2 linked regions of the Caenorhabditis elegans genome follow. The protein of the gene in region 1 interacts with the protein of each later gene in a pairwise test. Each region holds a gene or a part of one and is shown in the gene's direction. Other genes may lie near its edges.

What was found.
Region 2: the proteins of F53H1.4 (region 1) and nhr-66 interact in a two-hybrid assay, tested with the Caenorhabditis elegans proteins (one large-scale study listed by BioGRID).

What each region holds. Positions count from the first base shown.
Region 1 is NC_003282.8:1,308,290-1,313,366, forward strand, and holds the start of F53H1.4 (PHD-type domain-containing protein), read left to right. Parts: upstream 1-1,876; 5' UTR 1,877-1,934; coding exon 1,935-2,005; intron 2,006-2,308; coding exon 2,309-2,370; intron 2,371-2,452; coding exon 2,453-2,509; intron 2,510-2,607; coding exon 2,608-2,788; intron 2,789-3,837; coding exon 3,838-4,111; intron 4,112-4,731; coding exon 4,732-5,077. Other genes in the region: ddx-46 (RNA helicase), read right to left, coding at 1-173, 1,100-1,355.
Region 2 is NC_003282.8:8,233,583-8,238,525, reverse strand, and holds the start of nhr-66 (Nuclear hormone receptor family member nhr-66), read left to right. Parts: upstream 1-1,943; 5' UTR 1,944-1,948; coding exon 1,949-2,017; intron 2,018-2,322; coding exon 2,323-2,491; intron 2,492-2,616; coding exon 2,617-2,701; intron 2,702-3,511; exon of another isoform or gene 3,512-4,943. UniProt on the Caenorhabditis elegans protein: Transcription factor. Binds to regulatory elements and regulates transcription of target genes, including the potassium channel accessory subunit mps-2. Negatively regulates transcription of mps-2, thereby modulating age-dependent memory decline.

The sequences.
Region 1 (5,077 bases):
ATCCTCATCCTCCAGATTCCAGGGCTTTTTCTCAGATTTTTCATCAGATTGCTCAGATTGTAGATCAAGCTCTTCCTTCTTCTTTTGGGCTCTCCACTTCTCCACATTACGACGCCTACGCTCGACTCCCTGTAGTAATTCGGCTTCTTTCATTTTCATAACTTCTTCGGTGTCTGCAAATTGATAAAATTAAGGGGTTTTTTTGCAAAAAATTGAGAATTTGGGCTTTTTCACACTTTTATGGGTAAAAGCCGGCTGGAAATTCAATTTTTTGGGTGAAATTTGAGAAAACTCACTAAAATGTTAGGTTTTTTCGTAACAAAAAGTTGAAAATTGGCCTATTTCTTGCGAAAAAAACATAAAATTCACACTTTTCTGGGTGAAAATCGTCTAGAAATTCAGTTTTTTAGGTGGAAATTGAAAAAAAATCGCTTAAATTTTTATGTTTTCTTGGGAAAAAGGTAAGAACTCTATGGATTTTGCATGAAAAGTTCATAAAATTCACATTATTTTTTGCAAAAACCATACAAATCAGTGGAAAATTGGAAAAATCGCTTAAAAATGCATTTTTCTGGGTGAAAATTAGAGTTTTTTTTTCGCAAAAAATTGAGAATTCTATGGATTTTGCATGAAAAATTCGAAAATTTCGCACTTTTCTTGGTGAAAAATCGCCTAAACTTCAATTTTTCAACCAAAAACCTTTAAATTTGAACAATTTTCGGCTCTTTCTGTTGACAAATTTGAATTTCAACGGTATAAGGCGAAAATTGAATCAAAAATTCAATTTTTCTATCCAAAAATTGTCCGAATTTCGCTTTTTTTCTCCGGAAAAATTAGAAATTGCATGAAAATAGCAAAAATAAAAACGGCAAAAATAGCTGAATTTTGATGCTTTTGGCATGAAAATCGGCTAATTTTTGCGATTTTCAGTTTAAAAAGTTTTTTTTTTTTACCTTAAAATCCTATTTTTAGGCTGAATTTCGTTCAAATTTCCCAGTTTTAACTCAAAAATTCGAAAATTGGGATTTTTCCAGGCAAAAATTTGCTTTTTTTGGCTTTTTATCGATTTTTTTTGCCAATTTTTTTTGCAATTCCTTACCATTCCGTGACTCTTCCATTTCAAAAATCGCCGTTTTACTCTCTTTTTCCTTCTTTTTCTCTGCATCTCTCTGCTTTTCACGATCTCTCGTCTTCTCCCGATCAGTGTCTCGTTCTCTGCGTCTCTCCCGATCCCGATCTCTGTCTCGATGTTCCCGGTGCTCACGACTGCCACGTGGCGAGCGGCTCCGGCTTCTTTTTCGTTCCTTTGAACGGGAACGCTTTCGTTTGTGCTCTTTGTGCTCGCCGCGACCCATCGAAAACTGGAAAAAATTGGGGATTTTTGGATTAAAATTGGGAAAAATACGATTAAAGTGTGCGAAAACAATGAAAAATCACTGGAAATTCGTTAAAACCTTCGGATTTTTATAAAAGAACAATTTTAATCATTTTTAATTTCAAAAAGTGTTTTAAAATCCAGAAAATCTGATTTTCTGCCTATTTTCTGGCCGATTTATCGTTTTATGTAAGTAATTTGACTTCAATCTTCACTTTTTCACTTAAAAAACTTCGAAAAAAGCGAAAAATCTATGGAAAATAAAATAAAAACCGAAAAAAAAAAAGAATTTCGAAAATAAAAATTTTCCGCACTACGACACTCCGAAATCCCGCCGCGCGTGTTGTTTAGCGCTTTTAAAAATTGGCGCGAACGCGCAGGTGTTCAAACACTGTCCGTCGATTTTTCTCGCATTCCTCACAATTCTGTCGCTTTATAGCCGGCTTTCGCGCAAATTTTTGTGTAAATTACGTTAAAGTCACTTAAATTCAAGTTTTCCAGTGCGAAAAACTAACAAACTACTTGTTGCAACTCGGAAATTCAAAAAGTTGATTCGCAAATGAGCCAGCGATCATTTGGAAGTGAAATTGGAAATATGACGGCTGCTACGAATTCGAATGATATTGCGGAGTAAGTTTAAACGTGAATTTAAATTTAAAATGTTTTAAATAAAAAAATAAATTTTTTTTTAACTTATTTCTCGATTCTCCAAAATTTTGAGAGTTCTTTTTATTGTTTCTGGTGTAAAATTCAACGTTCTCTTCATTTTTCACATTGAAAACCCGTGAAAATCACTAAAAACCACTGGAAATTCATGAAAATCCAATAAAAACCAATGGGTGTGCAAGCGCGCCCCATTGCGAATATTTGAATTGTTTTTCGTTTTCGACTTTTTTTCTCCGAATTTCGAGCCAAATTTCTCTCTTTTTCCAGCGTTTCGCTCGCCACACCACTAAAATCGACGGAACAAATGGAAAAGTCGGAAAATGGGACAGGTTAGTGCCGAAAAATCGTGAATTTCCACCCGATTTTCACCTAGAAACCCGAAATTCCACAAAATAATGTTTCTTTTTTCAGCCGTCTCCCGCCTCCCAAAGCCACTCGCCATTGAAGTTTACTCGAAAGTTCACAATAGTGAGTGAAAAACCCAGAAATTGTGGATTTTTCATCAAAAATCTCCAAATTTTCGCTAGAAAACTAGATTTTTCGCGGAAAAATCCCCCAATTTTCAGGCAATTTATCAGAAGATGACCTTCTCGACGAAATTGAAGACCTAATTGATGAGAAATTCTTTGCCGGAGAGAAATTAATGAGCTCTGGCAAAGAATATACAGTGGTTTCCAGTGAAAAACGCGGTGGGCTCACACTTTACACAATGGAGGACGGCACCAAAATTGGACATCGCGATTTGAGGTGAAAATTGATGGAATTGCATGGTTTTCGGTGGAAAAATGTGGCGAAAAACCGTTGAATTTCGCTTATAAATCGGAGTTTTAGGCCAAAAATGACTAAAATCGTTAAATTTTCAGATTTTTCATGCAACAAATTTGAAAATTCCGCATTTTTTCTTCATTTTTCACCCAAAAAAAAAACCACTAAAGTTACAGGTTTTCATGAAAAATTGCTTATTTTAACCGAAAAATAACAAAAAATTGATTTTTTAATTCATTTCCCACGATTTTTACTTCAAAATTATCATTTTTAGGTCATTTTTTGAATTGAAAAACGGATTTTTAGATCTTTCCTGAGCAAAAATGGGGTTTTTTTCATTGAAAAATCGAGAATATCCCAATTTTTTAACCGGTAAATACGCTGAAATCGTGTTTTTCAGCCAATTTTAGACCTTTTTAAGTGAAATATAAAGTAAATCCACAAAATAGCTGCAAAAATGCGTAATTTTCAACATTTTTGCATGAAAAATCCAAAAATTTTCATGTTTTTTGATTAAAAACTCATAAAATTCGAGATTTTTGGACGGAAAATGCTTTAAAATATAATAATTTCACATAAAAAATGCTGAAATTTTTCATTTTTGCTATAAAAAATTTGAAAAATGTCAATTTTCAGCCAAAAAAGGGTCTCTCAGTGGGCGAAATTACGAAAAATGGCCATTTTTGCACTAAAAATCCCAGAAAATTCATTAAAATTTCCTCGAAAACCCGAAATTTCCAGTGAAAATTTATGGAAAATTAGTTTTTTCGTTCAAAAATTCGATTTTCCAGACAAAATGTCCACAAAAATTTGATTTTGCGGTGAAAAGTGTAAAAAACTGCAATTTTTTTTTTCAAAAATCCGTTTAAAAAGAGTCTGAAAAAGTTCAAAGATGTAATTTTGGATGAAAATTGTGTGAAATTTCACAATTTGGCGCTTAAATTGTCTCAAAAATAAGTGGAAATTACACTTTTTATGAAGAAAAATCCAAAATTTTAGAGAAAAAACCCTAATTTTCCCTCAATTTTCAGACGAAAAAAGGGTCTATCAGTGGAAGAAATCAAGAAAATCGCCATTGAAGATGCTGAATTTGTGGATGAAAAGCAGTGGAAAGTCCGGGAAGAACTGCTCGCCGAGAATCCGATTCGTGAAATTAAAAAATATGCTCCAATATTCTCAGCAAATCGGAAATCTACGCCGAAAACTGCTCAGCTCAGTGTGGCGGCAGAAGCCGATGATTCAGATGTACAAGAGGTGTCAATGGATGCTGAAAGTGGAGCAGAAGCTGCAAATAAAAGTGCTATGGTACGGGAAAATTTCGATTTTTAGCTGGAAAATTGAGAGAAAAATCTGATTTTTCGGAGAGGAAAAGTAAAGAAAAATCAGGATGTTAGCTGAAAATTGAAAAAAAAAGTAGATTTTCAGCTGAAAAATTGACAGAAACGCTATTTTTGTAGTCAAAGCTCGATTTTTCGTAGTAAAAATACAGAAAAATTAGGATTTTTCCTAAAAAATTGAATAAAACAGTGAAAAAATCGTGATTTTGACAGAGATCAACTAAATTCCGATGATTTTTAGCTTTAAAATTGACAAAATTTGTGAGAAATTAGATTTTTCGACTGAGAAATTGAGAAAAACGCCATTTTTCATAGTAAAAAATGAGGAAAAATGGGATTTTTATTTGTAAATTTCTGAAAAAACGAGAAAAATTGGATACATTTTGTGAAAAATCGAGAAAAAAACCACATTTTACAGTGAAAAATTGACTAAAATCTCGCAAAAATCGCCAAAATTGTGCCAATTTTCACCAAAAACTGTTAGAAAATATAATTTTTTAATGTAAAAATTGACAAAAATCATGCGAAATTTCCAATTTTCTGAGAACTTTCTGTTGAAACTTGTGAAAAAACCGAAAATTTTTGCAGAAAACTCCACGTGGAGCTCCGCGAGCATCTGGAGGCCCTGTGATCCTCTCGAGCCGCCGTTTACAAGAAAAACAGAAGGAAAAAGATGAAAAAGAGAAGGAAAAACTGGAGAAAAAGCAGAAAGAACAGGAAGAGAAGAAGCAGAAAAAAGAAGAGGAAAAGGCGAAAAAACTGAAAGAAAAAGAGGAAAAATTGAAGGAAAAAGAGGAAAAAGCGGCACGAAAAGCTGAGAAAAAGGAGAAAAATAATGGAACTATGGACAAATTTTTGAAAAAAGACACGGGCTCACCGAGCAGCAAAAATGCACCGTTATTCTCACCGTCGAAATGGGGAGAGAAGCGGATTG
Region 2 (4,943 bases), 6.9 Mb from region 1:
CCGTTTGTCCCATTTTTGTTTTTTATGATGAAAGCGAATTTTATACAGTATGATGCCTCTTTTTTCGAATATTGTAGGAAATTTTGTTGGATACTTGAATTGATTTTTAATAGAAAGTTTTCAATTGTTCATGTTCAAATCAATTATAAACAAAAGGCTTGGACCAAAGATAACTACTTCCTATGTTTTAAATTGAAACCAATAATCAAAATGAAGGCGATAATTGATTTTTTATTTTTATTTTCCGGATTTCGAGCGAGACTCAACTCTCAAACTCAAACTCGCGTCATTAAGATAAACGAGCATCTACACTTTTGGTTGCAAAAACTGCAAAAAAATTTTTTTTTAAACTATTTCCCAATTGATAATGCTTTCAAGTACATTTAAATGAACGTCTTCAAATATCAGCAAGCAAATTACAGTAACATTTCAATTCATGTTTATTTAGTTATACCAGAAAAAGTGCACCTGCCATTTACGCACTGTTTTATGGATTGAATCCATGACTTCTAGGCAGGTAGGCATGAAGTCCGAAATCTTGCTGCTGACTTGAATGAATCCCTAAACGAAAGCTGTCAAATACTTGAAAGAACACATTTGTATTCTTTTTTAATGTGCTTCTCGGAAAATTTTGATTTTTAAATGTTTTCTGCTACACTACGAAAATTTTCATAATATTCGCTAAATTTGCACGTGTTCAGTGAGCCTAACAACGCGACATGTCTACAAATATCTAGACACGAATGTATTTCTAACATTTGAATTTTTCAACTTCTTATGAGAGAAAGTCTTATGAGAAAAATCAAACGATGAACAGCTGAAGCATAACAGAAAATAAAAACATTTTTTCATTTCGACTATAGTTATAATTATTTACCCACAATGCCTGATTTCTCGAATTTTCATATTTTTTGTTCTTCTCTAAAATCTCTAACAATAGCCAAAATGTAGTCTGTTTTAAAGTTATTATGCGAGAAGCTGTGCACATATCCCATCTCGAGCCCCTTTTGTATGCACACTGCTGAGCATCAGAACGGACGGTATGCTGCACATCCCTCGTGACTGCGTATAATATCCACCCGATTTTTGTGTGATTAGCTGCAGAATATCGTATATCGAGGCGCGTTTTCCATTTGTGGCGATAATGCACATTTTTACTGTTGAATTCTCTTTTGAGGCTCCATAAACCACAAATAATGCGACGATCGTGTATTACAAATGTTCGACAACTGTGATTTCTCTGATTTCATCTTACTGTAGAAATAATTTCAAACTTCGCGCACAAATGGATTTCACCAGAGCGCACTTGCTGTATTCTTCGGTAGCAAATTTTTTCCAGCGAAAAGCATTTCGAAAAGCCTGTAAGCTTTCGTGAAATGAGATAATTTTTCGTGAAAAACGTTTCTACAATTTTTATCAATTTATTTATTTCAACATCTTCAAAAACATGTTACGTTCTTAAAAAAATACCTTTTAAAATTTACTATTAGCGAAAAATTGCTGAAAATTTTTGTTTTCTAAGATTATTTTTGTCCCGATGGTGTCGTCGTCACAACATCTCATACATATATACAGATAAAGAATAAAAGCGAATCCATTAGATTGGCGCATTTGATTTCTCGTTCAATCCGTCCTTTTTCTGCTGATCTTTCACGTGTCTCCTGCCGGCGGCCCCGCCCATTTTCTCATACTTTCAATTTTCAAGGTCCTTTTGTCAGTTCAGTATTCTAATTTTCCTCGTTCCTCGATGGCCTTCCGGTTACCTTGCTCTTGTTACAAAGCTCTCGCGAGCAAACTTCAGCCCGCCTCTTTTTTGAGAACTCGACTTGTGCTCGCCTGCTCTCTGTTGAGCTCAATTTATTCATTATTCTGATCGCAATTTTGTTTCGAATTAATAAAATTAGAAACGTCAACTATTTTCAGATTTCTTTCAGACATCTTCTATGGAATGCCGCCAATCAATGAGCCCACAGCGACGACAACATCAGCATCGTCGGTGTGGCAAGGAATGACACAGGTTTGCATAAAAATTGAATTTTATAAAGTTTAATATCAAATTTCCTATTAATATTAAATAGAATTCTATAAAATTTTATGCTTACAATAAAAAAATTGATTTTTTAAATTGTATCGTAGTCTCTGGCACAACGCAGGTAAATCGTTGCGAGACCAAGCCTTCCTTTGAACCATTTTCTTCAACAAATTGTTTCTTTTTTGTGGTTCCCTGCGCGCACAAATTGTATTTTTTTTAGTCGAAAAACTTGTTTCTTTGAAGAATTCATGAAATTTAATAATTAATTCAATAAAATATTTTATTTTCAGTTAAAATCTCAAGTCGACTTGATCAATATCGCTCGAGGAATTCTCTCAACCCCCGCAACAACATCAACATCATGTCTTGACATCCAGAATTCGACACCGATCATCGGTTCGTTGGCCTCCGGGAAATCCCAGACGCCAATTCTCACAGCGACAATGACTCCACAAATCGGTACGGTAGATTGTTATTGTCAATCAAGAAAAATGGGGGAGAAATGCGCGGGAGAAATTGAGTCGTAGTTCGCGTAAACAATTGTTGTTTTCTCTGAAATATTAATCAATCATGCTCGTTTTAAGGACTCACTGGGCTTGGTTCGTTGACATCGTTGCCTCCAGAACTTCTACTACAGTTCGCTAGACTGGACGGATTCAACTTATTACCGTGAGTTTTTTTTTCTTTTGAAAATTCAAAATTTTGCCGAAAATAGGCAGTTTTTTGTATGGAAAAAAAATTGCAATTGGAATTCAAAAAGAAATAATCAAAAAGTTGAACCTTCCGAATTAAATTTGAATTTTGATCTTTCATTATTATCTTCGCTCAAAGTCTTGTGCTTTGATCCATATCTTTCCTCCTGCTCTGTGACTTTGTACTTTTCATCTGTCTGATTTCTGCTTGACAACGCTGGAGTGTCTGATAAATCTAATCAAGCTGAGCAGCGCTATTTTCTTAAAAAATGTGATGTTACATACAGAAGAGACATAGAGTACATTGCTAATTCATAAGTTTAGAATAAAGAAACTCAAAATCAAAGAACAAAGTCAAATAATCCTTCATAATTTTAGTTGGTTGCCCTTGTCATTGGGAGCAGACTTCTCATATATATATATAAATGTGCATGCGCGACAACGGAAATGCAAGTAAAAGAGCATTGAAACAAAGATCCGTTGTATGTTGCATGACACATGAGTAGTGGAGAGTGTGGGAGAAAGGTGCAGAGTACAGCTGACTGGCATGCTCCTGTCGTTGAAATGTGTAGAAATGAAGGGATTTCTGTGCTGCAACGTTCCAGAGATACTTGTTGTAAGAAAGCTTCATTGTAATCATCTTTTCTCGACTAGACTGAAGTTTATATGTGCACCTGAAGCAGCTCTATTTTACAATTTGCAACTCACTTTTCTATGATTTCTAAATTAGTCGATGTGATTTTTCAATTATAAGATCAACGGGAACAAGTGGTGCAACATTATATTCAAGTTTTAACGGATTTATATAGCAACTTAATCAAGCTATTATATAAAAAGTCGAACACCAAATTGTTAGGTCTTCCGTCCATCGTTTAAAGCCCGAAGTCCTTCATCCATCCCCAATTGTCCGTTCCGCCTGACCATCGAAACAGCTTTGCAGCGCTCAATGACAGCAGATGCGCTTCAAAACAAACCGATAATAGGAGGAAAATTGAAGGGGTCAGAAATAACCCGCCTTGGTAGATCGGCTCCGTTTATAATTCCTTCCAAGCTAGCCGGCTCTCCGTTATTACTTCTTTGCCTCTTCCGTATATCCGAAACAGGTGGAAACTCTCGTCTCATTACCAACTCGTCGACTTTCTCTTTACTAAAGCTTTCCTCCTCTGACCCATCTTGTGCTTAACTGCATAATTTGAAATTCCCAGACTGCATGAGAACTTTTGCGTTGATGAGTCTCGTCTCTTTTTCTGCAAGGAAAAAAACCACAGAGAACCACACACAACGAGAAAGTTCAAAGGCTCAATGTATCATTTTACGTATTTCTCCTTTCTTTTCTTTCGCTAGCGCACACTTCAACATCCAAAAGCGCCACGTGTTTGTGTTTCGGGAAAACAGAAAACTGTGTGCTATAGCAAACTCAATACCCCATCACCGGAAACTTTCCGGTTTATCATCGCTTTTTGCGGTTTTTCTTTCGTGCGCCTGCCTGCTTGCAAAATACCACAAACTCATGTGTTATCGGTGTTGGCCTACAACATTTTCTATCATCATTTCGATGTTTATATAAAGATTTTTTCAAAAAGAAATGCATAGATCAGGATCGTGTTGATTCCAAAATGGAACTAGCAGGCTTTTGTCGTACTTTAGAACCTGGCTTATTGCCAAAATATTTCTATTCAAGTTGACAGCCGTTTGCTTTCGATTATTGTTCCGATGATCCCCATTTCGCCCTATTAAATGTTCAACATCTATTTGACAAACTCTAAAGACTACAAACTACGGGCATCTAGAATAAAGACGTTATCACTTGTTCTATTGTCCAGAAACTGTCATGTGAATATCTTATAAATCTCGTTGATCTTCAGTGGAAAAGCTGAATGAGACTAGTGTGTTAGAATATTGAAGTGATCTACATTAGATTGTTAAAATCTGCTGAAAGCCTACAATTACACATTTCAAAGCAGTTGAAATTAATTTCGCCAGTTTTATTTTGAATGGTGTTCATCGTGTAATCATTCGGATCGTTAGATCAAAACGATCAATTTCAGCGAATAGTCATGATAAAATGGTGACTTAGAGTTATCAGTTTGTGTTTATACTATAAACAACCGTTTGTGCATACGCAAAAATCGACTTTCGACTGTTTTAACTTCTTGTACAAAGATCGGGTTCACGAGGTGGCCAACCGTTTGTATTTTTTCGTAGAAATGACCTACAAA